Macaca mulatta: one gene and its partners. The main gene of each other region encodes a partner of the protein of the gene in region 2 in a complex. Links are inferred from orthologs where the notes say so. Each region holds a gene or a part of one and is shown on either strand. Other genes may lie near its edges. The genes, in order: CWC27, SNRPD1, SNIP1, GPKOW, LSM7, SCNM1 and DHX16.

What was found.
Region 1: SNRPD1 (region 2) and CWC27 share a complex: the UniProt entries of both Homo sapiens proteins name them as parts of the minor spliceosome. The link is inferred for Macaca mulatta from reciprocal best matches to the Homo sapiens genes SNRPD1 and CWC27.
Region 3: SNRPD1 (region 2) and SNIP1 share a complex: the UniProt entries of both Homo sapiens proteins name them as parts of the minor spliceosome. The link is inferred for Macaca mulatta from reciprocal best matches to the Homo sapiens genes SNRPD1 and SNIP1.
Region 4: SNRPD1 (region 2) and GPKOW share a complex: the UniProt entries of both Homo sapiens proteins name them as parts of the minor spliceosome. The link is inferred for Macaca mulatta from reciprocal best matches to the Homo sapiens genes SNRPD1 and GPKOW.
Region 5: SNRPD1 (region 2) and LSM7 share a complex: the UniProt entries of both Homo sapiens proteins name them as parts of the U4/U6-U5 tri-snRNP complex. The link is inferred for Macaca mulatta from reciprocal best matches to the Homo sapiens genes SNRPD1 and LSM7.
Region 6: SNRPD1 (region 2) and SCNM1 share a complex: the UniProt entries of both Homo sapiens proteins name them as parts of the minor spliceosome. The link is inferred for Macaca mulatta from reciprocal best matches to the Homo sapiens genes SNRPD1 and SCNM1.
Region 7: SNRPD1 (region 2) and DHX16 share a complex: the UniProt entries of both Homo sapiens proteins name them as parts of the minor spliceosome. The link is inferred for Macaca mulatta from reciprocal best matches to the Homo sapiens genes SNRPD1 and DHX16.

The regions. Positions count from the first base shown.
Region 1 is NC_133411.1:72,852,601-72,856,100, reverse strand, and holds part of CWC27 (spliceosome-associated protein CWC27 homolog), read right to left. Parts: intron 3,176-3,500; coding exon 3,096-3,175; intron 2,145-3,095; coding exon 2,111-2,144; intron 1-2,110. UniProt on the Homo sapiens protein: As part of the spliceosome, plays a role in pre-mRNA splicing. Probable inactive PPIase with no peptidyl-prolyl cis-trans isomerase activity. As a component of the minor spliceosome, involved in the splicing of U12-type introns in pre-mRNAs.
Region 2 is NC_133423.1:70,797,268-70,801,465, reverse strand, and holds the start of SNRPD1 (small nuclear ribonucleoprotein Sm D1), read left to right. Parts: upstream 1-1,398; 5' UTR 1,399-1,506; coding exon 1,507-1,520; intron 1,521-4,198. UniProt on the Homo sapiens protein: Plays a role in pre-mRNA splicing as a core component of the spliceosomal U1, U2, U4 and U5 small nuclear ribonucleoproteins (snRNPs), the building blocks of the spliceosome.
Region 3 is NC_133406.1:203,258,086-203,261,585, reverse strand, and holds part of SNIP1 (smad nuclear-interacting protein 1), read right to left. Parts: coding exon 3,032-3,500; intron 878-3,031; coding exon 613-877; 3' UTR 1-612. UniProt on the Homo sapiens protein: Required for pre-mRNA splicing as component of the spliceosome. As a component of the minor spliceosome, involved in the splicing of U12-type introns in pre-mRNAs. Down-regulates NF-kappa-B signaling by competing with RELA for CREBBP/EP300 binding.
Region 4 is NC_133426.1:49,204,849-49,208,985, forward strand, and holds the start of GPKOW (G-patch domain and KOW motifs-containing protein), read right to left. Parts: upstream 2,801-4,137; 5' UTR 2,789-2,800; coding exon 2,613-2,788; intron 1,848-2,612; coding exon 1,693-1,847; intron 1,594-1,692; coding exon 1,469-1,593; intron 1-1,468. UniProt on the Homo sapiens protein: RNA-binding protein involved in pre-mRNA splicing. As a component of the minor spliceosome, involved in the splicing of U12-type introns in pre-mRNAs.
Region 5 is NC_133424.1:3,071,154-3,075,358, reverse strand, and holds the end of LSM7 (U6 snRNA-associated Sm-like protein LSm7), read left to right. Parts: intron 1-180; exon of another isoform or gene 181-339; intron 340-743; coding exon 744-815; intron 816-3,413; coding exon 3,414-3,556; 3' UTR 3,557-3,705; downstream 3,706-4,205. UniProt on the Homo sapiens protein: Plays a role in pre-mRNA splicing as component of the U4/U6-U5 tri-snRNP complex that is involved in spliceosome assembly, and as component of the precatalytic spliceosome (spliceosome B complex).
Region 6 is NC_133406.1:115,922,672-115,926,655, forward strand, and holds the start of SCNM1 (sodium channel modifier 1), read right to left. Parts: upstream 2,801-3,984; 5' UTR 2,687-2,800; coding exon 2,636-2,686; exon of another isoform or gene 2,587-2,635; intron 2,362-2,586; coding exon 2,291-2,361; intron 1,935-2,290; coding exon 1,846-1,934; intron 1,749-1,845; coding exon 1,651-1,748; intron 1,544-1,650; coding exon 1,455-1,543; intron 422-1,454; coding exon 227-421; intron 1-226. Other genes in the region: LYSMD1 (lysM and putative peptidoglycan-binding domain-containing protein 1), read left to right, coding at 3,581-3,760. UniProt on the Homo sapiens protein: As a component of the minor spliceosome, involved in the splicing of U12-type introns in pre-mRNAs. Plays a role in the regulation of primary cilia length and Hedgehog signaling.
Region 7 is NC_133409.1:152,384,635-152,388,134, reverse strand, and holds part of DHX16 (pre-mRNA-splicing factor ATP-dependent RNA helicase DHX16), read right to left. Parts: coding exon 3,485-3,500; intron 3,316-3,484; coding exon 3,200-3,315; intron 739-3,199; coding exon 528-738; intron 331-527; coding exon 232-330; intron 121-231; coding exon 1-120. UniProt on the Homo sapiens protein: Required for pre-mRNA splicing as a component of the spliceosome. Contributes to pre-mRNA splicing after spliceosome formation and prior to the first transesterification reaction.

The DNA of each region.
Region 1 (3,500 bases), on a different chromosome or scaffold from region 2:
ACTCCATGAGGGCTAAAATTCTGGCCTGTTTTGCTTACTGTTGTATCTTCAACTCCTAGAATGGTACCCAGCATTAACAGAGGGAGGAATGAAGGGAAGAAAGAGGGGAGAGAAGAAGGAAGAAATAACCCCAAGTAGATCATTTTTATTTCGTGATTCTTTCTTTGATCTGGTGAGTCGTAGTGAAAGCAGGATTCTTAATTTGAGACTTGTGGACCCCTAAAGCAGTGGTCCTCAAAGTCTGGTCTTTAGATGGTATTACATAGTTGTTTATTAACACCTGAAATTCTAGTCCTCATTGCAGACTTATTGAACCAAAATCTCTGGGGGCAGAAATTATGAATGTTTTCAACAAGATGTTTAAGCACTAAAAGTTGACAACCACCAACCTAGGCCTTCCATGCTCAGGCCTCAGGAGATCTGAAAAAAATTCCCGGCAAATTCATATAATTTTGGTTGTGAATGTAGGATATTTTCCTGGGAAAGGATCTACAGTTTTAGTCACCCACCCATGATATTAAGAGCAAATTTATACTTTTACATTCTATCCTATACATTGATCCTATCTTCTAGACCCATATTATGTTACACAGATGTCTCCAAATTACTTCAATCTTGAAATGTATAAAATTAAGCTCATTACTTTTCATCCTTCTCTCCATCTCAACCCTATGCTTTCTTTTGTACCCATCTAACAAGTTGCCCAAACCAGAGACCTTGTGGTTGTCTTGGACTACTCCTCCCTCACCTCATAGTATGGAATCAGTCACCTCCTAGACCTCTTTCAAATCTACCTCTTTCCCATCTCACAGCTGTGGTCTTATATCAAGCTCTCCTCCTGCAATAGCTTCCCAGTGGCTGTCCTTGACATCAGTCTGTTTCCTCTAATTTGTCCTCTATAATATCACCAACGGTGATCTTCCTGAAATGCAAAATTGATCACAGCATCCTTCTTTTTAACAAACACCCTTCAACTGTTCCTCACTTCCTTTTGAGAAAAAATTCAAACTCCTCACCACGGCCTATGAAGCTCTGTAATGAAGCTCTGGCCTGTCACCACATCCTGTTCACGTTGGCCTGCTTGCAGCTCTTAGAACACACCAAACTCTCCTGCTTCGGACTATTTTGTATATGCAGTTCCCCTTACCTTCAATAATCTTCTTCCTTGCTCTTCACAAGACAGACTCCTTGAAACTTTAAATCTCTGTTTGTATTTCCTAAATAAGGTATAATCTCTCCTTATTTCCATGCTTTAGTATATGCTGTTCTCTGAGCTAGAGGGACCCTACCCTTCACCACTTTCTTTTCTGACTTATCTAACTCCTAACTCTCATGTAAGACATAAACACCATCATCTCTTCCAGGAAGGTTTTCTTGACAAGGTCAGATATTCATCCTCTCTCTATCTCCTACTGATAGCCAGAGAGAGCCTTCTCTTTTGACTGTGATAATAGATAAATCTGTGTTCATGCATGGAAAGTTATGTACTTCCTAGTAAATTATATAATGCACAGATTAATGGATTTTTATATACAAAGTGGCATATGTATAATTTGCAAAACTTGACTCTTATGTATTAAAGGAAAATCTTCCTTCTGTTTTGTTAGCTTTATTACCCAACACAACTAACAAAGATCACTACAGTCTTGAATGAGAATCTTTTGAAATGTGTATATAAAAAGGGGACACTACTATAAATGACTGATCAAAGCATTTCCCATGTATCATGTAGGATGCCCACACACCAACACTTAAACTTTTAACACAATAAAATTATAACATCTCAAGTTTGAGTATTAATGTAATGTTATGTGAAGGGGAGAAAAAAACAGACTAGAAATTCATATATAAGATTCTAATGTTGTAGAGAGATATATAAACACACTCACGCACACCCCTAGAGTAAGGAAATATTCTAATACCTAAATGGATAATTTCTATTTTTCATATTTTTCCAAAATTTGACATATATAACTATAAAAGTTATACATTATACTATACTATAAAAAGTAATGCACATTACTTTTTAAGAACAAAATTAAGTCTTTGTAAAAATTTTGTACTTTCTATGAATTGTTCAAACTATATTTATACCAAAATAAATACTTACATCATCTAAATCTCCCGCTGCATCACCTTTTTCACTATAAAAAAATAAGCAAAACAAATTTTAGTTTCAAGGTAAAACTAATACAATTATTTTGTAAACCAAAAATCTAGAATAGTTTGCTGGGAATAACATTCCAAAAATGTATTTCAACATAGGAATTTAAGAAGGGCATTATAGAACAGATGGAAACACTCTTTATAAGTGGAACAAGTATGATTCATTAGCAAATATATGCGTTCACTAGAATTTGAAAGAAAAAAAGCAAACAACAACCAACAGTGCTATTTTTATGAACAATGGTCTGCAAAGAACAATTTCTTCTATTGGCTTGAAGTATTCTCGCTAAAAAACCCCAAATCCTTCAAATAAAAGGATATTAAGAAAAGATTGTCCTAAAACAGGAGTTTCAAAAATGAGCTAAACTGAGTACAACAGCATTGTAGTGCCCCTTGAGATAATGGCCCAGTTTATCTTGTGCAATCACATCTAACACCAAGACATCTTCCCTTCTCAAAGAGAAGAACAAAGGTAGCAAGACAACTTTCTGTTAACTCCTCAAAGTATGTGAGAATTTACAGTCAGCGGACTGGCCCCCACACTGGTAATTTCTTCACAAAAACCTTCAACTTGAATTTGTTCATTCATGATACAATTAAGGCAAACATGCTTCAAGAAAAACAGCAAAACAACCTTGAATTAAACATTAAACTGTTAAAGCAAACAGTTTCCAGTCCTAACACGTAATGGTAAAACAATCTTAAATGTAACTTACTCAACAGAGGTAGAGAGCAAGTGCAAAAGTGACTAGAGTGTTTCTCTCTATCAAGCTTGAAGTTCTCTATCTCTGTTATCAAAATGCGTTATTTTTTTGGTTGGTTTTGAAATTTTTGATTTATGAGTACTGACTGTTTACTCACAGAGGAAGCAAGAAAATTATCTGACCCAGAAAATTAAGAACTTAGGATCACACCAACAATGGACTAACCTTTCTACAACTGGAACAGAACTGAGATGTGGATCATCCTTAAGCAAGTCATGACTACTTTTGCTTTTGCCCTTCATGCTCTGGAAAGAATGTACAATATAATCATGAGGGGGGAAATAAACAGTATTCCTAAATGACGAGTTAACAAATTTACATAAAACCTAGCAATGATATAATATGGTTAGCAAAAGACGTATCCCTGAAAGGTTCAATACAAACTAAAGTTTTATAAGTAAGAATCTTACTCTTCTATTGACTGAAAATAGTATTTTAAAAACATCTTTTCTTTAAAAAATATCATTAAAAAGAAGTCTGCTGAATTACCAACTTGAAGCACTAAATTCTCATCATAATTTGTATGCAATGAAACTAGTTCATTTTTATGACCCCTATAACTTAGAAGCT
Region 2 (4,198 bases):
AACCTGAAAGAGGTAAGGGGAGTGTTTGTGTTAAATCTTGATGAAGTTCACACCTGTAATCCTAGCACTTTGCACTTTGGGAGGCCTAGAGAGGCAGATCACTTGAGGTCAGGAGTTCAGGTCATCCTGGCCAACATGGGGAAACCCTGTCTCTACTAAAAAGACAATAATTAGCGGGGCGTGGTGATTCCCCCCTGTAATCTCAGTTACTGGAGAGGCTGAGGCACGAGAATCGCTTGAACCGGGGAGGCAAGGGTTGCAGTGAGCCAAGATCGTGCTACTGCACTCCAGCCTGGGCGACAGAAGGAGACTCTGTCTCAGAAAAACAATAAAAAATTTTGAGGAGATGTTGTGAAAGATGAAGATTGAAAAGTTTGTCTTATAGATCGGAACTTAAAGTGAAAATAATCCGCTACATTGTGTGATTTTATTTTTTTATTTTTATTATTTTTTGAGACGGAGTCTCGCTCTGTTGCCAGGCTGGAGTGCAGTGGCGCGATCTCGGCTCACCGCAACCTCCGCCTCCTGGGTTCAAGCGATTCTCCTGCCTCAGCCTCCCGAGTAACTGGGACTACAGGCGTGTGCCACCACGCCCAGCTAATTTTTGTATTTTTAGTAGAGACAGGGTTTCACCATGTTGGCCAGCACGGTCTTGATTTCTCGACCTCGCTATCTGCCCGCCTCGGACTCCCAAAGTGCTGGAATTACAGGCGTCAGCCACAGCGCCCGGCCCATTGTGTGAATTGCTTCAGGTACATTAAGTAATGCTAAGGTTCCTGGCGTTGGAACAGAATTAGCATAATCCTTTGGGCTTCTCTAAGAACTTATTTTCGTTCAGTGAGGAATTTATATTAGGTGCTGCACTCACGGTGCCCTGCTATTCAGAAACGTGATGGTGACAGTACGTGTGTGTGTGTGCGCGCGCGCGCGCGCGACGGAGTTTCGCTCTTGTTGCCCAGGCAGGAGTGTAGTGGTGCGATCTCGGCTTACTGCAACCTCTGCCTCCCGGGTTCAAGCGATTCTCCTGCCTCAGCCTCCCGAGTAGCTGGGATAACAGGCGCCCGCCACCACATCCGGCTAATTTTTTGTATTTTTAGTACAGACGCGGGTTTCACCCTATTGGCCAGGCTGGTCTTGAACTCCTGACCTCAGGTGATACCCCCGCTTCGGCCTCCCAAAGTGCGACAGTCCTATTAATTGGATTTAATCTCTTCGAATCTCCCTCTCTTGTGGGACACTTTTCCTCTTAGACCAGCCCTCAACACCCTCAGTCGTGGCAAGGCAACCTCCAGCCGCCAGGGGCCGCAGTCGCGCTCCTCGCGACCGGAAGAGAGTGCGGCCCAGCGCAGCCTCGGCGTTTCCGCCGTGCGTCTGCTGTGCTCCGCGCGCCCTTTACGACCGGAGTCCCTGGAGTAGGCGCTTCCGGCCATTCATACTGCAGTCGGTCAGTATTCGGTTGTTGGATTCTGTGCGCTCTCGGACCCGAAGGGTGACGGCGCCGCTAGGATGAAGCTCGTGAGGTGAGGGAGTGACCAAGCAGCTCCGGGGGCTGTGGAGGGAGGGCTTGGCCCGGAGTCCGGAAGGCTGGGCTCTCCCATTTGCAGGAGGCGGGAAAGCCGCGTGTGCGCGGCCTGCTAACGGCCGGCCTTACTGCGCCCGCAGCTCGTGCTCGGGCCTGGGCTTCCGCCTGGGTCGCTCGCGAATCCCGCGTGTCTTCCAAGATACTGGTATAAAGGCCGAGCCTTTTCTTCCCGCCTAGTGACTTAGAGACTTTCAAGGTACAGCGCCGCCTGGGAGACATCTCGCCCTTACAGTTACTGATTTTCTTTTTGAGTGGAGCTCCAGCCCTACTTAAGAGTACTTAGAAAGCTGTATGAGCTTATCTGGAAACAAACCTGTTTGCAAACTGTTTTAAATCAGAGAAGGACTTCTGGCTTCACAAGTTTTTGTTTTTGTTTTTGTTTTAAATAAGACGGTGTCTCACTTTGTTGACCAGGCTGGTCTCGAACTCCTGGGCTAAAGCGTTCTGCCTGCCTTGCCCTCCCAAAGGGCTGAGATTACCGGTGTGAGCCACTGCGCCCGGCCGATTTTTAAGTTTATCTTTTGATTCTCCTTAGACTTATGATTGATTATTCTACCTCTTTCCTGTTAAGGTAAGCTTTTTATTTAGGAAAATCTCCCAATATAGGGCAGAAATTATCACAACGTAATTGTGGCTGATTACCCAGATGATATATAGTTATTCTGTTTTATTTCTTTCGCGAGAAATAGACCCTGTCACTTAGGTGAGTCTTCTGGAGACTAATTCCAAACTACCTGCGAGTAGATTTGGTTTTGGTCTTTTTCCTTGAGACTGAGCCTGGAACAGAGGCAGACGTTTCTAATAACTAAGCCATCGATTATAAATATTTAGCTTGTTTCTTTCCTGTTGAGTCAAGGATTGTCATTATCCGCTAAATAGTTATTGGGCACCTGTTACCTACTGGGCGCTGGTAATAGTATTTTTTAAAAGGCAGATCCTTGTTGGAGCTTTCTAGTTAGGGGGATGACAGACAAGTAGATAACGTCTGAAATAACGTTTGTTTGAAACGTTTTAAATAACACATAAAAGCCTTCAATATTCAGGGAGGAGGCCAGGCGCAGTGGCTCACGCCTATAATCCCAGCACTTTGGGATGTCAAGGCGGGCAGATCACTAGGTCAGGAGTTCGAGACCAGCCTGACCAACATGGTGAAACCCCGTCTCTACTAAAATTACAAAAATTGGCCGGGCGTGGTGGCGCGCGCTTGTAATCCCAGCTACTGAGGAGGCTAAGGCAGGAGAATCGCTTGAACCCAGGAGGCAGAGGTTGCAGTGAGCTGAGATTGGCCACTACGCTCCAGCCTGGGCAACAGAGCGAGACTCCGTTGCAAAAATAAAAAAATAAAAAATAAAAAATTCAGGGAGGAGTTGGTACAAAAGACAATTAAGATTAATTTTTGTTGTATTTTTATTTGAACTATAATTTTGGATAGGAAGTCATAGAATTTAAAGTGCATTTTTTAGGCTGGACGCGGTGGCTCACGCCTGTAATCCCAGCACTTTGGGAAGCTGAGGCAGGCGGATCGCCTGAAGTCAGGAGTTCAGGACCTGCCTGGCCAACGTGGTGAAACCCCGTCTTTCGAAAAAATACAAAAATTAGCCGGGCGCCTGTAATCCCAGCTACTCAGGAGGCTGAGGTAAGAGAGGCGCTTGATCCCGGGAGGTTGTAGTGAGCCGACGTCACACCACTGTGCTCCAGCCTGGGCAACAGAGCGAGACTCTGTCTCAAAAAAGAAAATTACAACATTTTTTGAAATTTCTCCATACCAGCCGGGCGCGGTGGCTCAAGCCTGTAATCCCAGCACTTTGGGAGGCCGAGACGGGCGGATCACGAGGTCAGGAGATCGAGACCATCCTGGCTAACGCGGTGAAACCCCGTTTCTACTAAAAATACAAAAAACTAGCCGGGCGAGGTGGCGGGCGCCTGTAGTCCCAGCTACTCCGGAGGCTGAGGCAGGAGAATGGCGTGAACCTGGGAGGCGGAGCTTGCAGTGAGCTGAGATCCGGCCACTGCACTCCAGCCTGGGCTTCAGAGCAAGACTCCGTCTCAAAAAAAAAAAAAAAAAAAAAAAAAAAGAAATTTCTCCATACCTGCTAATCTGAATCTTAATCTACTCATAGTTCAATTTTATGTAATACACCTTGGATTTCATTTGTTCCCTTTAAATATATTGCATGTTATGGCAATTTTCCAGTAATTTTTAATACCTGGACTGAATCCTGTTTTGTGTCTTAGGTCAAATATAGAAAGAAAATTTTTTTCTTACCAGAGAATGTATTTTTCCTCCAGAAAATGATTGTTTGACTAACTGGTTTGCGTTTTCAGTAGACTTATTTCTGTATATCAGTTGGTAGTTGTCATCCTTATTCTCACTGTCACCCTAACCAAAAACCTGGGAGGTGAGCTTGACTTTTTCTCTACTGATGTCCTTGACATTTGATACACTGCCAGTTTTACCTACTGCATAAAAGTGTCCCACATTTTCCTGTTTGTTTTTTGGGTTCAGATAGTGTGTTTTGATACTGAGGGACACCGTGTTATCTGACTATTTGATATCTAAGTTTCACTAAGTAGAAAGAATTCAGATACTGAAAGATTCGTCTGAAAATAAGTTGA
Region 3 (3,500 bases), on a different chromosome or scaffold from region 2:
TAAAGCATCTGTTTAAGTTAAACAGTCAATAACGTTTACTGACTGCAGTACATTCCCACCCCCAAAAGACTAAGTGCAAAATCAACTTCTAAGCTCAAGAGCTCAACCAGGTCAAAGCTTTGGTATATACTGGAGGTTGTTTTGGTGATAACCAAAGCCTAGTAAGATTCTCTGCTCAGGGGTTCACCCCAAAAGAAAAACACCTGGTCCACAAAGCTTAATACCTATATAAATAAAGTTAACTGTACAAAGAGAACAAGCCATGATTTACCCTTAACCAAGGGTTTATAGTTTCCTAGGCAGCAGTTCTGAAAGCACCAACTAAAACCACAACGCTTCTACTAAAACACGGTGTGTTGTAATTGGTGAGACTGTTCCGAAAACAAATGCCTGCAGGCATGTGGCCAAGGTGCCACAGAAAAAGTTTAACAAACATTAGTCAGTGTATTCAAATGGTAACACAATCTGGTCAGCAACAGGGGAAAGACTTAAGGCAGTAAGAGGCATTACAGAGAGCATGATAGTGTTGGACCCACCACCATAGTGCTCTCTGAGTCAATCAAAGCCTTCCAACAAGGAAAACGTGTCTCAATAGTTTGGGTTCTTAGTTTGTTAGCTGTCAGATACTTCCTCCTCCTCCTCCTCATCCTCATCATCTTTCCTGTCTATTTCCGAAGTGTCCGACGACTCATGGAGCAAGACATATTCTCTGCTACTGAATCCAAATTTGAGTACATCCTTTTCTTTTAGTTCATAGTATCTCTGTGGCTCAATACGTTTGTTGTTTAAGAAGGTTCCATTGCCTGAGCCAAGGTCAATGATGTAGGGCTTCACTCTTCGGCCAACCGTGCCATCAGCACGGGTATATTCCACAAGCCTAGCAGAGAAAAAGGAGAAACCTATGAGCAAACTTCTGCCTCAGATCATCCATCCTCTCTGAAGCTCTTTGCTAAGACAGCCTAGATGATGTAAATAACCTGACTTGAGCATAATTCAAGTTAAAATTCTAGGGAATCAAAGAAATCAAGGGGAAAGCATGGCCCTGGGAAGGGAAATTGGAAGTTTAAATATATTTAGTAGAAAAGGTGAGAATGGGTTACTGGAGGGTGGGGAGAATCCATGGAAGATCAAAAGGTGGAAATGCAGAATCCAAAGTCTCTTGCTGTGGTTAAGAAAATACATTTTTTTCTGTTGTTTATAATCAATGTTTCTTTAACCTATATTTCAATATATTTCAGTTCCTGTCCAAATGGGAAAAAACAGTGGACCTGGACTTCAGAGTCAAGGGAGCTATATTTGAGCCAGAGTTCTACTATGGCAGGAGTCCCCAGCTCCTGGACCATGGACTGGTACTAGTCCGTGGCCTGTTAGGAACCAGGCCGCACAGCAAGAGGTGAGCAGTGGGCAGACAGGCAAGCAAGCCAAACTTCATCTGTATTTTCAGCTGCTCCCCATCACTCGTATTATTATTGCCTGAGCTCCGCCTCCTGTCAGATCAGCGGTGCCATTAGTCTCATAGGAGCGTGAACCCTATTGTGAACTGTGCACAAGTGGGATCTAGGTTGCGTGCTCCTTAGGAGAATCTAATGCCTGATCTGTCGCTGTCTCCCATCACCCCCAGATGAGACCATCGAGTTGCAGGAAAACAAGCTCAGGGCTTCCACTGATTCTAGATTATGGTGAGTTGTATAATTATTACATTATATATTACAATGAGATAATATTAGAAAATAGGCCGGGCGCGGTGGCTCACGCCTGTAATCCCAGCACTTTGGGAGGCCGAGGCGGGCGGATCACAAGGTCAGGAGATCGAGACCACGGTGAAACCCCGTCTCTACTAAAAATACAAAAAATTAGCCGGGCGCGGTTGTGGGCGCCTGTAGTCCCAGCTACTCGGGAGGCTGAGGCAGGAGAATGGCGTGAACCCGGGAGGCGGAGCTTGCAGTGAGCCGAGATCGCGCCACTGCACTCCAGCCTGGGCGACAGAGCGAGACTCCGTCTCAAAAAAAAAAAAAAAAAAAAAAAAAGAAAATAAAGTGCACAATAAATGTAATGCACTTGAATCCTGAAACCATGTCCCTGGTTCCATGGAAAAACTGTCTTCCATGAAACCGGTCCTTGGTGCCAAAAAGGCTGGGGACCACTGTACTATAGTGATCATTTGTTAGGCAAGTCACTTGGTTTTGCTGGGCTTCAGTTTTCTCATCTGTCAAATGGGGATATAAATACTTGTCCATTCAAAGTCAGGAGACCATGTTAAAACAAAACAAAACAACAACCAACAACAACAACAAAAAATGGGCCAGGCGCAGTGGCTCACACCTATAATCTCAGCAATTTGGAAGGCCGAGGCGGGTGGATCACGAGGTCAGGAGTTCGACACCAGACTGACCAATACAATGAAACCCTGTCTCTACTAAAAATACAAAAATTCCCTGGGTGTGGCAGCGTGCGCCTGTATTCCTAGCTGCTCGGTAGCCTGAGGCAGGCGAATCGCTTGAACGCAGGAGGCAGAGGTTGCAGTGAGCTGAGATCACGCCACTGCACTCCAGCCTGGGCACAGAAGGAGACTCCGTCTCACAAAAACAAAAAACCAAAAACCGGTCCTATCCTTCTCACAGGATTGTTGTGAGAATCATCACAGATGTCCCACGCAAGCTATCAAGAACCAGTTTCAAAATTAGTAGAGCACAGAGGCACATGCCTATGGTCCCAGTTACTCAGGAGGCCAAGGTGGGAGACAATCATTTGAGCCCAAGAGGTTGCTGGAGTGAGCTGTCTTTGCTCCACTGCACTCTAGACTGGGTGACCGAGTGAGACCTTGTCACAAAAAAACAAAAAATAGATTAAAAGTATAATGTTCTTATAAATATGTAAACAATTATTTAAAGGGAAGTTAGATTAACAATACTCTTTAGATATGAGGGGTATGGGATTCTTCTGTATATGTATGAACAAAAATCTTAGTAATCCTAACTAACTGAGCAATTGTTTCTGCTCACATTAGAGTTTCTTCCTCCATGTTACTTACCGATATTGAAAGACCGCATGCTGCTTTGAACAAGATGGGTGATCGATAGGAATGTCTGCAATGCGGCGGTGTCGACCCAGTAGATACGCACTCTGTCGATGTATGTACATGACTGGAAGCACCTCATCATTTTTAAATGGGTAGAGACGCCACCGTTTTTTTGGAATACGTGCTTCTGGGGGCTCACTATATTTAATGACTACACCCCGGAAAGTGTTGGTGTCCTCAAGAAGTGCCCCAGAAAGTTCATAGCTTGGTTTTTCTTTAGCAGGCACCTCTTTTTCTTTGTTGTTGCCACCAGGCCGAGGAACCAACTCCTGAGACTCACTACCGCCACCACCAATGTCATTCCTCTGGCGATGCTCCCGTCGCCTGGCATTATAAAACTCCCGCTCTTCTTCCTGAGCCTGCAGGTTCTGAGTGTCTCGCTCCCGTCCCTGACCCTGCCCACTCCCAGGTCTCTCGTTAG
Region 4 (4,137 bases), on a different chromosome or scaffold from region 2:
CCACCTCAGCCTCCCAAAGTGTTGGGATTACAGGCTTGGCCGACTCCAAGGTTTTTATGCTGAGTGAGAGGAAGGATGGATGGAATTTTTGGTCACCTGATATGTATAAAGCTGCAGGAGGAGGTTTATAGAGGGAAAAATTAGAGGAATGAGGTTAAAGCTGGAACAGGATGAAAGGATGAAGAGGGAAGTGAGGATCTTTTTTTTCTTTAAAGATGAAGGAGCTGGGCACAGTGGATCATGCCTGTAATCCCAGCGCTCTGGGAGGCCAAGGTGGGTAGATCACCTGAAGTCAGGAGTTCAAGACCAGCCTGACCAACGTGGCGAAACCTCGTTTCTACTAAAAATACAAAAACTAGCCAGGCGGTAGTGACACGTGTCTGTAATCCCAGCTACTTGGGAGGCTAAGGCAGGAGAATCGCTTGATCCCGGGAGCGGGAGGTTGCAGTGAGCCGAGATCGTACCACTTCACTCTAGCCTGGGCCACAGGGCAAGACTCTGTCTCAAAAAACAAAAAACAAACAAAAAAAAAAAAATTGAAGGAAATCAGAGCACATCTGAAGGCTGAAGAGAACAGTTCAGTTGAAAGAGAGTGTTCTGGGGCTGTAGGAGAACTAGACTCCAAAGAAGCAATGTAAGAAATTTATGAAAGAAGAGGTGAAAAGTCAGGTCTGTGGGTATGAAAGACAGACTTGGTTACTCCTGTAGACACGCCTCTCACATCTCCTCGTCACCTTCCATCATCACTCCTTCCCATTCACTCCAGACACACCACATGTTGCCTCACTGATGGACACACACCACATCGATTTTCTGCCACTATGCCATTGCTTGGGCTGTTACTACCAACAGGAACACTCACTCTGTTCTTCCCTCTCACTAAACCCTACTTATCCTTCCAGACCACTCTGGTCTAAGTCCCCAGCATCTCTAGCCTGGACTACTCATCCCCTTGCTTCCACCTTCACTAATGAGTCTGTTCACAGCAGCCAGAGGGATGCTGTCAAATCATAAATCATATTTCATCTATGCTCAGGGCTTGCCTAGGCTCTCATCCCACTCAGAGTAAAAGCCAAAGTCCTCACAATGGCCTACAAGGCCCTGCCTTGTCTAGCACCCCCATCTCCTTTCTGACTTCGTCTACTATCCCTTCCCCTCACTCATTCCACTTCAGTCACACTAGTCTCTTTGGTGTTCCGCAAACACTCTAGGCAGTGTCTACCTTCAGGGCCTTTACATTTCCTGTTCCCTTTGCTGCACACCTCATTCAGATAATCCTAGGATTCAAGTACGTTTTTAGCATCCAGATATCCAGATTCATTTGGTAATGCTTCCAAAAAGGATGACAGGAGAAAGGACAGGTGGCGGGCCTCTAGCACACAGACTTTCCCTGCTATGTGCAGGGACACAGCCTAGCAGACAGGGCAAAGAAAGGCTGGGGCAGGAGGGGGACAAGGGGCCAGCTCACTGTCTCTGCCCGGGGTTCGCTGTCTGCCCCTTCCCCGCTGGGGGTGCATCCTTTCTGGATCATGGGGATAGCGAGCGTGGGGTCGACACCCGCATTCTCTCTCTCTTCCAGAGACTTCTTGGATTCTAAGGGAAGAATAGGAGGGAGCAATGAAGTCCCACTCTATCCTTCCACCTTCTTCATCTTCTTCCTTCACTGGGGAAGGGTAAAGGGGCATCACTCACCCTCAATGAGCTCCTTCACAGCCTGGGACAGCACCCCATCTGCCAAGGCCTCAGTATCTGTGGATGGCCCAGGGGGCCGGGCTGGTGACTGCCTGCGATGGCCATTCTGGATCAAAGGGATGACGAGTTCCTTGGGGGCTTCCTGGGGCTTCACACTGATGTGGACACAGAGGGGTGGGGTTGGGAGAATGGCAGTGTCAGTGGGTCACACTCCTTTATTCAGAGAAAACACGAGAGCCAAACTCACCCCAGCCCCACAGACCATGCCTTCTCTACTCCATGTCTGGATCTCCTGTACCTCTCTGATCGTGCATTCTTTGGATTATCCCCCCCAGTGCCCCCAACTCGTAAATGTCAGTGCCTTCGAGAAATAAGTCCTGGACTCTCTGTTTAACTCAAGACCGGCTTCCACAATGGCCCACAAATCACTATCTTCAGCCTAGACCCTCCCTAGCTCCAGGTTCCCAAACAGCTTCCCAGATGCCTGATTCTCTTCTGGAAATCCCTCCCTCAGACTCTCCTCTCCTCATTAAGCTGATGGTGGCCTCCATCAACCTGAATCTGCCGCTCCATCCCGTTCCCCATATCAGAGAAGCCCCACCACTTCAGCTGAGACACTAGCAGGTCCTGTCATTTTCTCATTCTTTCCTTCTCCCAGAACGCACACACCTCAGTGTCCTCAAGTCCTAAAGACACTTCTTCTCAGTGATACATCCTCTCTTCGCAATTCCCACGGCTATCAGGCCCAATTTCCCCACCCCTCTTATAAACTCCAGCCTTCTGGCCTTCACGAATTTACTCAGGCTGTGCTTCAGGCTTAACAGGTCACTGTCACCAAGACAAACGACTGAGTGAGGTTCCTCCCTCCCGCTTACGCCCACCGCAGCGATTTCCAAGGTGTGAAAGACCCGGCGCGTCACCTCTGCAGCTCCCTCCCTTCCACGGTTTTCAAGAAATCCTTCTCCTCCGGAGATGGCCTCGCGCCGTCTCCCGAGTCGGCCAGCCGCCTCCGTGCGGACGTGCGAGTGAAGCCGAATGAAATTGGGGCAGTGGAAGCAGCCGTCAGCGGCAAAACACCCTCTTCGGAGTCAGCCATCTTGCCACTTTTCCCAGGCCTGCGCGCTGCTTGCTGGGAAATTTAGTTTGGGTTCAGATCGCTAGGGGCCGGCCAAAGTGCGTAAAAACTACCTTCCCATCAACCACTGTGGCACCGGCGGGAGGGGGCGGTAAGGGGCCGTGGGAAGTAATTGTCGCTCTTTCAAACGTCGTGGGAGTGCGTCGCGCCAAGTGCACAGGGAAATGTAGTTTTTTTTGTTTTGTTTTGTTTTTGTTTCTTTTTTTTTTTTAAGATGGAGTCTTGCTCTGTTGCCCAGGCTGGAGTGCAGTGGCGTGATCTCGGCTCACTGCAACCTCTGCCTCCCGGGTTCAAGCGCTTCTCCTGCTGCAGCCTCCCGAGTAGCTGAGGCTACAGGCATGCGCCACCACGCCCGGCTAATTTTTGTATTTTTAGTAGAGACGGGTTTCACCGTGTTAGCCAGGATAGTCTCCATCTCCTGACCTCGTGATCCGCCTGCCTCGGCCTCCCACAGTGCTGGGACTACAGGCGTAAGCCACCACGCCCGGCCGGAAATGTAGTTTTTAGCGAGGTAGGCATGGTGGAAGGTGGATTCATTCTTGCCAGGCATTGATTCCTTCGTGTAGGCGTTTGACAAGTATTTATGGAGCGCCTACTGTGTGCCCTACTCATGTGGGAAGTGTTGATGAAGTAAATCATTTAGAAATAATCAGCCAGGTGTGGTGGCGTGCACCTGTAGTTTCATTTAGCCCACAGGCTGAGGCAGGAGGATGGCCTGAGGCCCAGGAGTTCGAGGCTGCACTTAGCTCCTATCGCGCCACTGCATTCCAGCATGAGTGACAGAGCGATACCCCGTCTCTAAAAAAGAAAAAGTCAGGGTCGGGGGCGGGGGAAGGAGTGTCAGTTGTCTACAATAGTAAATAATAGACATAAAGTGCCTACTGGCCAGGCGTGGTAGCTCATGCCTGTAATCCTAGCATTTTGGGAGGCCTAGGCTGGTGGATCACCTGAGGTCAGGACTTTGAGACCAGCCTGACTCATATGGTGAAACCCTGTCTCTACTAAAAATACAAAAATTAGCCGGGCTGGTGGTGGCACCTGTAGTCCCAGCTACTCAGGAGGCTGAGACAGGAGGATTGCTTGAACCCGGGAGGCAGAGTTTGCAGTAAGCCGAGATCCCGCCACTGCACTCCAACCTGGGCGACAGAGCGAGACTCTGTCTTAAAAAAGAAAAAGAAAGAAAGAAAGAAAGAAAGAAATAGTGCCTACTGACCAGGCTCATACCTGTAATCCCAGCACGTTTGGAGGCTGAGGCAGGCGGATCACTTGTGAGGTCAGTAGTCCGAGACCAGCCTGGCCAACATGGTGAA
Region 5 (4,205 bases), on a different chromosome or scaffold from region 2:
CTGTCCCAGCAGAGCACTCCGTCTCCCCTAGAGGAAGCCCTGTCCCCATCAGCTGTCACTGCCTGTCGCCTCTCCGGCACCCACACATCCCCTCCCTGTCTCTGTGGATTGGCCTGTCCTGGACCTTTCATAGAAACGGGATCACACGCTGCGCGGCCTTCTGTGGCTGGCGTCTCTCACCGAGCGTGGCGTCCTCAGGCGCGTCCTCAGGCACATCCGCACCGCGGCCTGCGCCAGCCTCGCTCCTCTTCCCGGCTGGTGGTTCCACCGCATGCATGTGCCGCGGCCTGTTTTGCTACTGTTTTGGAGCGGAGAATTGTTTTTATGACTTTTAAATATCTGGAAAGGGATCAAAAGAAGACTGTCTCATGATGTGGAAGTGATACGAAATTCCCGTTTCAGTGCCTGTGTGTCGAGCTGACTGGCCACGGTTCAGCCACACGTGGACTCATCACCGAAGCTGCTTCCACCCAGGCAGCCCGAGCCAGCAGCTGTGACCGGCACCCTGTGGCCCACACGGCCAGAAGTGTTTGTCCTCTAGCCCCCCGCAGACACAGTCGGCTGCCCATGGTGGGGGTCACTCTGGAGGCGCCTGTCACCAGCCCCTCCCGGGAGCCCTCCCCCACCCTCAGTCCTCCATCCCTGAAGCAGTGAGCCCCATGCCTGGGCCACGCTGGGGCAGGCCGTGTACCCAAGATGGATCTCATGCCTTCTCATTTCTCTCCCCCGGTGATTTCTCCAAGCCAGTGGAATCCTGAAGGGCTTCGACCCACTCCTCAACCTTGTGCTGGACGGCACCATTGAGTACATGCGAGGTGAGTGGGGCGGTGGCTGAGGCGGGCAGCGGGATGAGGAGGGCAGTGGGGTGAGGGGGCAGCAGGGCAAGGGAGGCGGCCATGGAGCTGCCTGCTGCCTCTTCCTCCCTGAAACCCACAAAACCTCACTCTGAGGCACCAACGTGAAGCCTTGTGTTGGCCGATGGACGGGCTGAGCGCTCACCGGTCCTGGACGTCCTCACAAAGCTGGAAACTCCATTGTTGTGGGGCCTGGAGAGACGGGGAAGCTTCCCCACTGGTCTCTACATACTGACAGGGCACTTAAAATGCTCGCAGCACAGTTAGAGGACAGGCTTTTTAAATGTTGTATTATTTCAGTTTTTGTTAAACTGGTGTCGCGAGGGGCCGGGCACGGTGGCTCACACCTGTAATCCCAGCTGCTCGGGAGGCTGAGGCAGGAGAATCGCTTGAACCCGGGAGGCGGAAGCTGCAGTGAGCCAAGATGGTGCAACTGCACTCCAGCCTGAGAAACAGAGTAAGACTCCGTCTCCAAAAAAAAGAGATAAGCTGAGGTCTCACTGTGTTGCCCAGGCTGGTCTCAAACTCCTGGGCTCACGCCATCCCCCTGCTTCAGCCTCCCAAAGTGCTGGGGTTCCAGGTGTGAGCTGTGGCACCCAGCCGAGAGCAGCCTTGCTGTGGGAGAGCGAGCGTGCTGTGGGACCCCTCTCGGGCCCCTCTCCTCTTCTGCCTTGTTAATCCCCACTATGAACGCAGGGCCCCCATCCCCTCCCCAGAGAACACTCCCTCATTTCCCTGCCCCTGCTCGCTCTCCTCCCCAGTGAGGCCGCCAGGTCCTCAGACTCTCCCCGCTAGAAGATCCTGCTGCAAGTCCCCAGCCCGGCCCAGGCATCGGGGGGAGGCCAGGACTTAGAAAGAGACAGTCTTACCCCTCGGACCCATTGATACTGACACAAGATTTATTCTTGGAGCTGGCCACGGTGGCTCATGCCTGTAATCCCTGCACTTTGGGAGGCCGGGACAGGAGGATCACTTGAGCCCAGGAATTTGAGACCAACCTGGGCAACATACTGGGACCCTGTCTCTACAAAAAAACAAAAAAAAAATGAATTAGCCAGGCATGACGGTGCATGTGCCTATGGCCCCAGCTACTCGGGAGGCGAAGGCAGGAGGATTGCTTGAGCCCAGGAGGTTGGGGCTGTGAGCTGGGATGACGCTACTGCACTCCAGCCTGAGGGACAGAGCAAGACCTGGTCTCTAAAACAAAAATGTTAAAAACCTGGGCCCCGTGGTTCTCCCATGCCCCCACCAGCACACGACCACAGTAGTGAGGAGTTTTCATTGCCGTCAGCCTCTTCAGAGCTTGTCTTGGGCTTGCTGGTACTTCCCTGGGGTGCCAGCCCACATGATCCCCACGTGGGTCCCACCCACATGAACAGCCTCTTTTTTTTTTTTTTTTTTTTTTGAGACAGTATCTCACTGTCACCAGGCTGGAGTGCAGTGGCGCCATCTCAGCTCACTGTAATCTCCGCCTCCCGGGTTCAAGCGATTCTCCTGCCTCAGCCTCCCGAGTAGATGGACTACAGGCGCCTGCCACCACACTCAGCTAATTTGTTGTATTTTTAGTAGAGGCCAAGTTTCACCATGTTGGCCAGGATGGTCTCAATTTCTTGACCTCGTGATCTGCCCACCTCAGCCTCTCAAAGTGCTGGGATTATAGGCGTGAGCCACTGCACCCAGCCCAGCCGCTTTTTTTTTTTTTTTCTTTCTGAGACGGAGTCTAGCTCTGTCGCCCAGGCTGGAGTGCAGTGGCCGGATCTCAGCTCACTGCAAGCTCCGCCTCCTGGGTTTACACCATTCTCCTGCCTCAGCCTCCCGAGTAACTGGGACTACAGGCTCCCGCCACCTCGCCTGGGTGTTTTTTTGTATTTTTTAGTAGAGATGGGGTTTCACCGTGTTAGCCAGGATGGTCTCAATCTCCTGACCTCGTGATCCGCCCGTCTCGGCCTCCCAAAGTGCTGGGATTACAGGCTTGAGCCACTGCGCCCGGCCAATTTTTTTGTATTTTTAGTAGAGATGGGGTTTCACCGTGTTAGCCAGGATGGTCTTGAATCTCCTGACCTCGTGACCTACCCGCCTCGGCCTCCCAAAGTGCTGGGATTACAGGCGTGAGCCACCGCACCCAGGCCCCAGCCTCTTATAGGGTGAAAATTGGCCCCCTAGGGTTCCAGGAACCCTGCAGAGACCAGGAGGCCCGGGGTGCCTGTATTCTGGCTGGCCATCTGATAACCTGGTCCCCAGCCCTGGTGCCTGGGCTCCAGTGAGCTCCAAGACCCAGGGTAGCCGGCTGTCGCTCAGGCCTCCCTGTTCCTGTGGTTTGTGGAGTGAGGGCAGGCTGTGGCTGCTGTCTGTGGAGCTGTCGCTGGTCTCTAGGGGCTGTGGGTCTGAGCCATGGGAGCCGGGGACCTGCCCCGCAGAGTGCACCCCCTCTGGGGTCCCCACATGCTCATGGCACCCGCAGGGTGCAGGTGGGGAGGGCGGAGCGAGGGTCTTGTGTCGGTGGGAATTCTCAGAGGCCTCCTGGAGCTCCCTCAGCCCTCTCTGTCTGCTCCTTCCCAGACCCTGACGACCAGTACAAGCTCACGGAGGACACCCGGCAGCTAGGCCTCGTGGTGTGCCGGGGCACGTCTGTGGTGCTGATCTGCCCGCAGGACGGCATGGAGGCCATCCCCAACCCCTTCATCCAGCAGCAGGACGCGTAGCCGGGCCAGGGCTGCAGGACAGGCCGGAGCAGCTTGGTTCCCCACAGACTTGGCCGCCGTTCCCACCACGGTGCCACCTGCTGGAACGGAAGTGCTTTCCTTTTTGTATAGGTTGAATTTTTGTTTTCTTAATAAAACTGCAAACCTCATTGTGTTTGAGCCCCAGAATCTTGCTTTTCCCTTGACCTTCTGAGGAAACCTGTATTCTTGGAGATTGGACTCAGACCCTGGAGCTCATCAAATACCAGCCATGGTCCTTCCTGGGGGTGAGGGTTCACAGGTGACCAAGGCAGGTACAGGCAAGGCCGGGACAGGCGAGTCAGGAGCCTCAGTCCGATGAGGGGCTTGTGGAACCCCAGGCCAACCCCTGAGACAGCAGGAGCCGGGTGCATCAGGAGGGTGGGTGCATCAGGAGGGTGGGTGCATCAGGAGGGTGGGTGCATCAGGAGGGTGGGTGCATCAGGAGGGTGGGTGCATCAGGAGGGTGGGTGCATCAGGAGGGTGGGGTGCATCAGGAGGGTGGGGTGCATCAGGAGGGTGGGTGCATCAGGAGGGTGGGTGCATCAGGAGGGTGGGTGCATCAGGAGGGTGGGGTGTATCAGGAGGGTGGGTGCATCAGGAGGGTGGGGTGTATCAGGAGGGTGGGGTG
Region 6 (3,984 bases), on a different chromosome or scaffold from region 2:
ACATGCTTGTAATCCCAGCTACTCGAGAGGTTGAGGCAGGGGAATCGCTTGAACCTGGGAGGCGGAGGTTGCAGTGAGCTGAGATGAGATCACACCACTGCACTCCAGCCTGGTGACAGAGCGAGACTCCGTCTCAAAAAAAAAAAAAAAAAAAAAAAAAAAAGCTTTGAAACAAGAAGGGTCAGAGAGAAAAGAAAATCTGAGGAAACTGATTAGGCACACTCACCTTCGAAGGGTGAGATAATGGTCCAGGGCTCGTCTTCTTGTGGGGCTCATGGGTGCAGGGGCTGAGACAGTTGCTGACTCCTCGGCCTGTGGGCCAGCCCCAGGTTCAGGTTCCCTACTGATCTTCCCGCTTTGGAGTTCGACCTCTGAGGGTGGCACAGGAGAAAGGGAGACAGAGGGACCAGGGGCTTCTGGTCTAGGTAGAGAAGAATAGTCTGTAAAAGCAGTAAGGGAAAGGGCCAACTCTCCTATGACTCCCAACCTCTTAAAACAGTGTTTCTTAAACTATATTTTTCAAGATATTAGTAAGTTCTGCATACAAAGGATTTTAGAATCATGAATTTGGGAAAGGCTAGCTTTAAATTTTACAAGTTTTTTTTTTAATTCTTAAGACTTTGTATAGCTTTTAAAACTGTTACTCTTTTTTTTTTTTTTTTTTTTCTGAGATGGAGTCTTGCTCTGTCACCCAGGCTGGGGTGCAGTGGCCAGATCTCAGCTCACTGCAAGCTCCGCCTCCCGGGTTTACGCCATTCTCCTGCCTCAGCCTCCCGAGTAGCTGGGATACAGGCGCCCGCCACCTCACCCGGCTAGTTTTTTGTATTTTTTAGTAGAGACGGGGTTTCACCGTGTTAGCCAGGATGGTCTCGATCTTCTGACCTCGCGATCCACCCGTCTCGGCCTCCCAAAGTGCTGGGATTACAGGCTTGAGCCACTGCGCCCGGCCTAAAACTGTTACTCTTCAAGTAGAATTACAAAGTGCCATTTCCCAAACTTTATTTAAAAATCACAAAATTCTCCTTTTCTTTTTCTTTTGAGATGGAGTCTCACTCTGTCACCTAGGCTGGAGTGAAGTGGTATGATCCTGGCTCACAGCAACCTCTGCCTCCCGGATTCAAGCAATTCTTCCACCTCGGCCTCTTGAGTGGCTGGGATTACAGGCACACACCACACACCCAGCTAATTTTTTATATTTTTGGTAGAGACGGGGTTTCACCATGTTGGCCAGGCTGGTCTTGAACTCCTGATCTCAAGTGATCCACCGCCTAAGCCTCCAAAAGTGCTGGGATTACCGGTGTGAGCCACCGTGCCCGGCCAAAATTCTCCTTTTCTTGAAACACTAAGTAACATCTCCAGAACGCTAGTATTCCTCAGAATACAGACTGGAAAACACTTTCAGAGCCCTCTATCTCCTTCCGAGCCTTCCTACCTCTGGCTTTCCCCTCCCATACCTGTACTTCCGGCGGCAGCAACTGTTATAGTGGGGAGCTCTGTGCAGAGCACTCTGGGTGATAAGTCGTGTCTGGGTTAGCAGAGGAGCCTGGTAAGAAGATGGGAGACAGAGTCAGAGCCTTCAGCCCTCTGCCCTTCCAGCCTGGTGTGTGCAGCAGGGTCTTGCCTAGAACACACTCTCCACTCTCTGATTACCTCAGCTTTGGTTTCTTCCCTCCTCAATTCATTCTGATGTCTTGGATTCTGCTTCCTTTCCTTTCCCGGCTGCTTCTTGCCATAGAAAAGCTGCAAGCCTGAAGAGAAAGGGAAACAGAATTAAAAGCATAGCACCAAGGCTGGTGTGCAGAGATTTCGATTTATTCCCCATCCCCTGTCTTCCCCCGAACTTACTGGACAGATGTTTCTTGCCTGCACGGTGGGCAGTCAGCATGGCCAGGGTGTCCAGTACCGGTCGATGGGGGCAGATGGCACAAGCAAAGCTGAGCAGGGGTAGAGAAGAGGATAACTGGTCCAGGGGAAGAGGGTTGGGCCTGTCCCTGCCGTAAGTCCCACCCTGTCCTAGCAGTCTTTGCAAAACCCAACTCCCTGGTGACCCAATCTCCACTTCTTCCAGTCCTCACTAGCCGCCAAAGAATCCTAGATACTTCTGCTGTCCTAATTAATAACAAAAGTTTGTTGAAGCCGGGCGTGGTGGCGTGCGCCTGTAATCCCAGCTAATCGCGACGCTGAGAAGGCAGGATCACTTGAGCCCTAGAGTTCAAGGACAGCCTGGGCAACACAGCTATTGAGCCTCTAACCGCAAAACCCTCAGGCTTGAGCCACTCCTCGCTCTTACCGTCCATCCCGAAGCATCAGCGCCTCATCCTCTGGGATGTAACTGGCGAGGAGGTCCCCGACTCTTCTTTTCTGCAGGGAGTAGGGGAAGAAATCCGGACGGATCAGCAGGATAGGAGAGAGGGATGGAAGTTAAATGATAGAAATGAGGAGTCAAACGGAATAAGGACATAAGGACCCTGGGGAGAACAGCGATCATAGACCGAAAAAGGAGTCACTACACAGCTCTAAGTCGCCTGGTTCTCTCCTGCACCCCCGAGTTGTTGCCAGAGCAATGAAACAAAGCTCCTTCCCAACCTTCAGAGAGCGACTGAAGAGGCTGCAGATCCTCTCCGCTCACGCTTACTTTGAGCACATTGAGTTGACTCCAATCGTCTCCTTCCCTCTTGAAAGACATCACGACTGTGAGTCCCAGAAGTGATAAATTTTCTTGTTCCGGTTTCGCCACTCCTCTAGGCCACCGTAGCAAGAGCGGGACAGCGCCTTCTCTTTTCTCTTTGTCTTCCTGTCGGCCCCCGTACTTCCGGGAATGCACTTCCACGCATGCATTGCGCCATCCGGATATCCACTCTCTGGCGCGTGGAGGGAACTGCATTTCCTATGGTGCCGTGCGACTCCGCAGACGCGACGCCTTTTGGGAAATGAAGTCTTTTCCTCAAAGACCTTGCCGCTCAGCTGGATCCAGGCCCTTGCATCTTGGTGGATCTGAGGCGTTTAGAGGGACAAGAACCTAGATGTGGAGCCGAAATTTGAGGGTGTGACCTATCTGATGCGGAGCGGACCTTTGAGGATCTCTGAGTGGAAGGTGTACTACAAATTCTCGCAATCCTCACGCTCTTCGTCTGCGGCGACAGTTCACCTGGGGTGGGCCTGATTTGTTCCTGGCTCTAGCAAACAAACCCCGGGACCGGGCAGAGCTGGGATGTGGGAGCGCCCTGAGGCCAGACTACTTGGGGGCAAACTGAGGAAAGAGTGTTGAGGATTATTTCTAGAGTTCAAAGGTCAGAGGTCAATGTAGCGAGGAGTTGTGGGGGAGTTCAAAGTCGGAGGGGTGCTTAGGGGCGAATCAGGGAGGGACTGAATACTCAAGGGACAGATTTGTGGATAAGGACTTGGAGGGAGGAGAAACCGGGAGGGGGCAGGTGGCGTAGTGCTGGGGAGGCGGGGACACAGGGGAAGAGAGAAGGGGAAAGGAATCCCCTGAATATCTATTCCCAGACTTCAGGCCTGTCATTCGCAGTCTCGGTCGGGCCTCCCCTAGTTGCAACCTAGCTGTCGGCAGGGTGAAGAGATGGCTTCCCCGTCTAGACAGCCCCCGCCAGGGGGGTCAGGACTGCTTCACGGGAGCCGGGCTCGTTCATATGGAAGCCTGGTGCAATCGGCCTGCTCCCCAGTGAGGGAAAGACGCCTGGAGCATCATTTGGAGCCCGGAGACACCCTGGCTGGACTAGCACTCAAATATGGGGTGACGGTGAGTTTTCCAGGATTGGGGTGCAGACAAGAGTCAGGAGGGATTTAGTCCTGAGAAGAATGTAGTGGACCTTCTAGGTAACCTCCCCTGAAATGTTCCTAATGTGTTGAACTCTGTTCTGCTTTTATCTTTGTTTTCCCATCACAGTGTTGCACTGCGTGGTTGGGACAAGTTCTGCTCTACTATTCCAATGGAGAGGAACAGCTCCTATTTTATCATGCCAG
Region 7 (3,500 bases), on a different chromosome or scaffold from region 2:
GCGGGCCTGCATGTCAGAGGGCAGGTTGGCATAAATGGGCAGCACCAGGAGCTCCCGGATTTTGGAGCCCAGGCGGCGGCAGCGATCCTGGAGCATCTCACAGGCAGCCTCAATCTCCTCCTGGATAGAGGGCGGGGAGAGCAGCAGGGATCCCAGAGTCACAGAAGGCCAACATGCCGGCCCCGTCTTCCCCTGAGATACACCCTCCCCTCTCCCAACCATGTCAGGCACCTGTCCTGTCAGGAACACCAGGATATCCCCAGGGGGCTGGGTCACGTGGATCTGCAACACAGATACAACACAAGCTTCCAAGTAGTCAGCCTCTGGAGCCTGGAGAGCAGAAAGAGATGGGGTCACAGGAGGGCCACCTGCTTAGGCAAACCTTTCCTCTCCTCCCAGTTCAACATATACTTTATCCTAGTTCCCCTTTGGACCTTCCACTCCATCTTTCCCTCCTTGGGATAACTTTCTCCAAAGGCCTCAGCTTTTCTGCCACAGACTTAAGCCCATCCTCCCTGAGGTAGCACCTTGGTGTAGAAGATGTCCACAGGAAACCTGCGTCCGGGGATTCGAAACACAGGGGCGTCATCAAAGAAGGTGGAGAAACGGGCAGTGTCCAGTGTGGCTGAAGCCACCAGGACCTTGAGCTCAGGTCGGAAGCGAGCAACATCCTTGATCAATCCAAAGAGAATGTCTGTGTGTAGGGTCCGTTCGTGAGCCTCATCCACCATCACCACACTGGGGAGGGAATAGGGCAGCAATGAGGGAGGAGCGCTGGGCAATGCAGTATCAGACACCAGGGTTCCCTGGACGAGAGGGGAGTGATGGACACAAAGAGCTCAAGAATGACTGTTGACGGAGGGGGCTCTAAGGAGAACTCAGCCATCCCAGTTATGTAAGACCAACAGAAAGTCAGAGACGGCCAGGGACCCATGATCTGCAACCTATCCCAGCCTCAGCAGACAATAGAAGCCAAGATGTAGAGGCTGCACTGAGGCCAGGACAAGTCAGACATACTCTCTAGTTCAGTCAAGAGTCTGCTTAGACTCAGTAGCTGCTCTTACTAGAAAAAGTTGAACGAGGCTGGGCGCGGTGGCTCAAGCCTGTAATCCCAGCACTTTGGGAGGCTGAGACGGGTGGATCACGAGGTCAGGAGATCGAGACCATCCTGGCTAATACGGTGAAACCCCGTCTCTACTAAAAATACAAAAAACTAGCTGGGCGAGGTGGCGGGCACCTGTAGTCCCAGCTACTCGGGAGGCTGAGGCAGGAGAATGGCGTAAACCCGGGAAGCGGAGCTTGCAGTGAGCTGAGATCCGGCCACTGCACTCCAGCCTGGGCGACAGAGCGAGACTCCGTCTCAAAAAAAAAAAAAAAAAAAAGAAAAAGAAAAAAAAGAAAAAGAAAAAAAAAAAAAAAGAAAAAGTTGAAGGATATGCTTTAGGCTGGGCACGGTGGCTCACACCTGTAATCCCAGCACTTTGGGAGGCCAAGGCAGGCAGATCACGAGGTCAGGAGTTTGAGATCAGCCTGGCCAATATGGCGAAACCCTGTCTCTTCTAAAAATACAAAAAAAAATTAGCCAGGTGTGGTGGCGCACACCTATAGTCCCAGCTACTCAGGAGGCTGAGGCAGGAGAATCGCTTGAACCCGGGAGGCAGAGGTTGCAGTGAGCCAAGATTGAGCCACTGCACTCCAGCCTGGGTGACAGAGCGACACTCTATGTAAAAAAGAGGCCAGGTGCGGTGGTTCACGCCTGTAATCCCAGCACTTCGGGAGGCCGAGAAGGGTGGATCACGAGGTCAGGATATTGAGACCATCCTGGCCAACACGGTGAAACCCCGTCTCTACTTAAAAAAAAAAAAATTAGCCGGGCGTGGTGGCGGGCGCCTGTAGTTCCAGCTGCTTGGGAGGCTGAGGCAGAAGAATGGCATGAACCTGGGAGGTGGAGCTTGCAGTGAGCCGAGATTATACCACTGCACTCCAGTCTGGGTGACACAGCGAGACCTGCCAAGAAGGATTCTTCTTTTGCAGAGAGGAGCAAGTTAAGCCTTTCTACCCCAACTCTCAGAGGACTCTGCATGCTCCCTGGTTTCCTCCTAACTCAGTTATGTGCATGACACCTTCTTTCTCTTTGCTTTATTTTTTGGCTTTTCTGGGTGGCAGCCAAGTCCCAGGAACTCATCCTCATCTTCCCCTACCCACCTCTCTGACCTCAACTCTTTGTCCCTAACCCTAACTGTGATGGTGAAGCCCCCAGTCATTCCACAAAGCAGGCTGGCTCGATGGGCAAAAATATCTGCATCAGGCCCTCTTGCACTGGCTGGCTCCCCATGGGTTCTCAGAGATTTTTTGCAAGGGATATGAAGGATAAAATCCTATCTGTCCAATCACTCCACTGTGATCTTCCAGGGCCAGAAATTCACAGCCTCTGAAGAGTCAAAAGGGCACATATTGTTCAGCTGGCCTGACCCCAACCCCAGCACATTCATGAATCCCTTTTCCCCCTCAACACATGTTCAACCAACCTCTGCTTGGCCATTTCCAGCACTAAGAGCTCATTATTCACAGACCAAGCTACCCAAGACTTGTGTGGAGGGCCAAGATCCAGAGTCCAACCACTGTGACAGGCCCTGCAATCTCCAACACTCTGAGGGTTACTCAGCCGTCGGTATTGAGTTGGAATCTGTCTCCCTGTAACCTCCCCATGGCTCCTAGCTATATCCTGTAGGGTTACATAAACCAAGTCTCATCCTTCTTTCCATGTCACAGCCTTCACATATTTAGAGGGAACCAGGATGCCTCTCCTGCTTCTCCCTCTGAGCTGAGCATTCCAGGTGTTTTCAAATGGTCTCCACATGGCATTTCAAGCCTCCGCAGCAATGCTATGCTATCCTGGTTGTTTCCTAACCCTGGAGATGAATGGGGAAAGAAGAAGAGGCTTTCTCTACAATCTCTTCTATCCTCCAGCCCCATCTCAGTGGTACCTGGAGGTCAGTTCAAGGACCGTTTGAACCATAACGATATAAGAACTGGTGGATTAATCAGAAGACAATGGCTGAATTGGCTGGGTGGCAAGAAATGAGAGAAAAGCCAGAGATTAGAGATCCAGGAGAGAACTGAGTGGGAGGGAGGCGGCAGCACAGGGGGAAGAGAATGTGGGCAGCTCTCTCATGGGAGATGAGGGCCCTGTATGTACCTGTAACTCGCAAGGTCAGGCTCAGAGAGGAACTCCCGGAGAAGCATCCCATCTGTCATGTAGCGGAGGACAGTTCGCTCTGACGTGCAGTCCTCAAAGCGGATGCTGTAGCCAACCTGGTCAAGGGAAATCATTAGCAACCAAGTGTTGGATGGTGTGCCCTGAAAGGAACCTGGGGAAAGGTGAAGTGGGGCAGCACCAAGACTTCTGCCGTAGGGACCTGAGGGCAGTGTAGACTGAGTCACAGACCCCAGTCTCTACCCCCCAGTTCCCTAGAAATCTCACCTCATTCCCAAGCTTC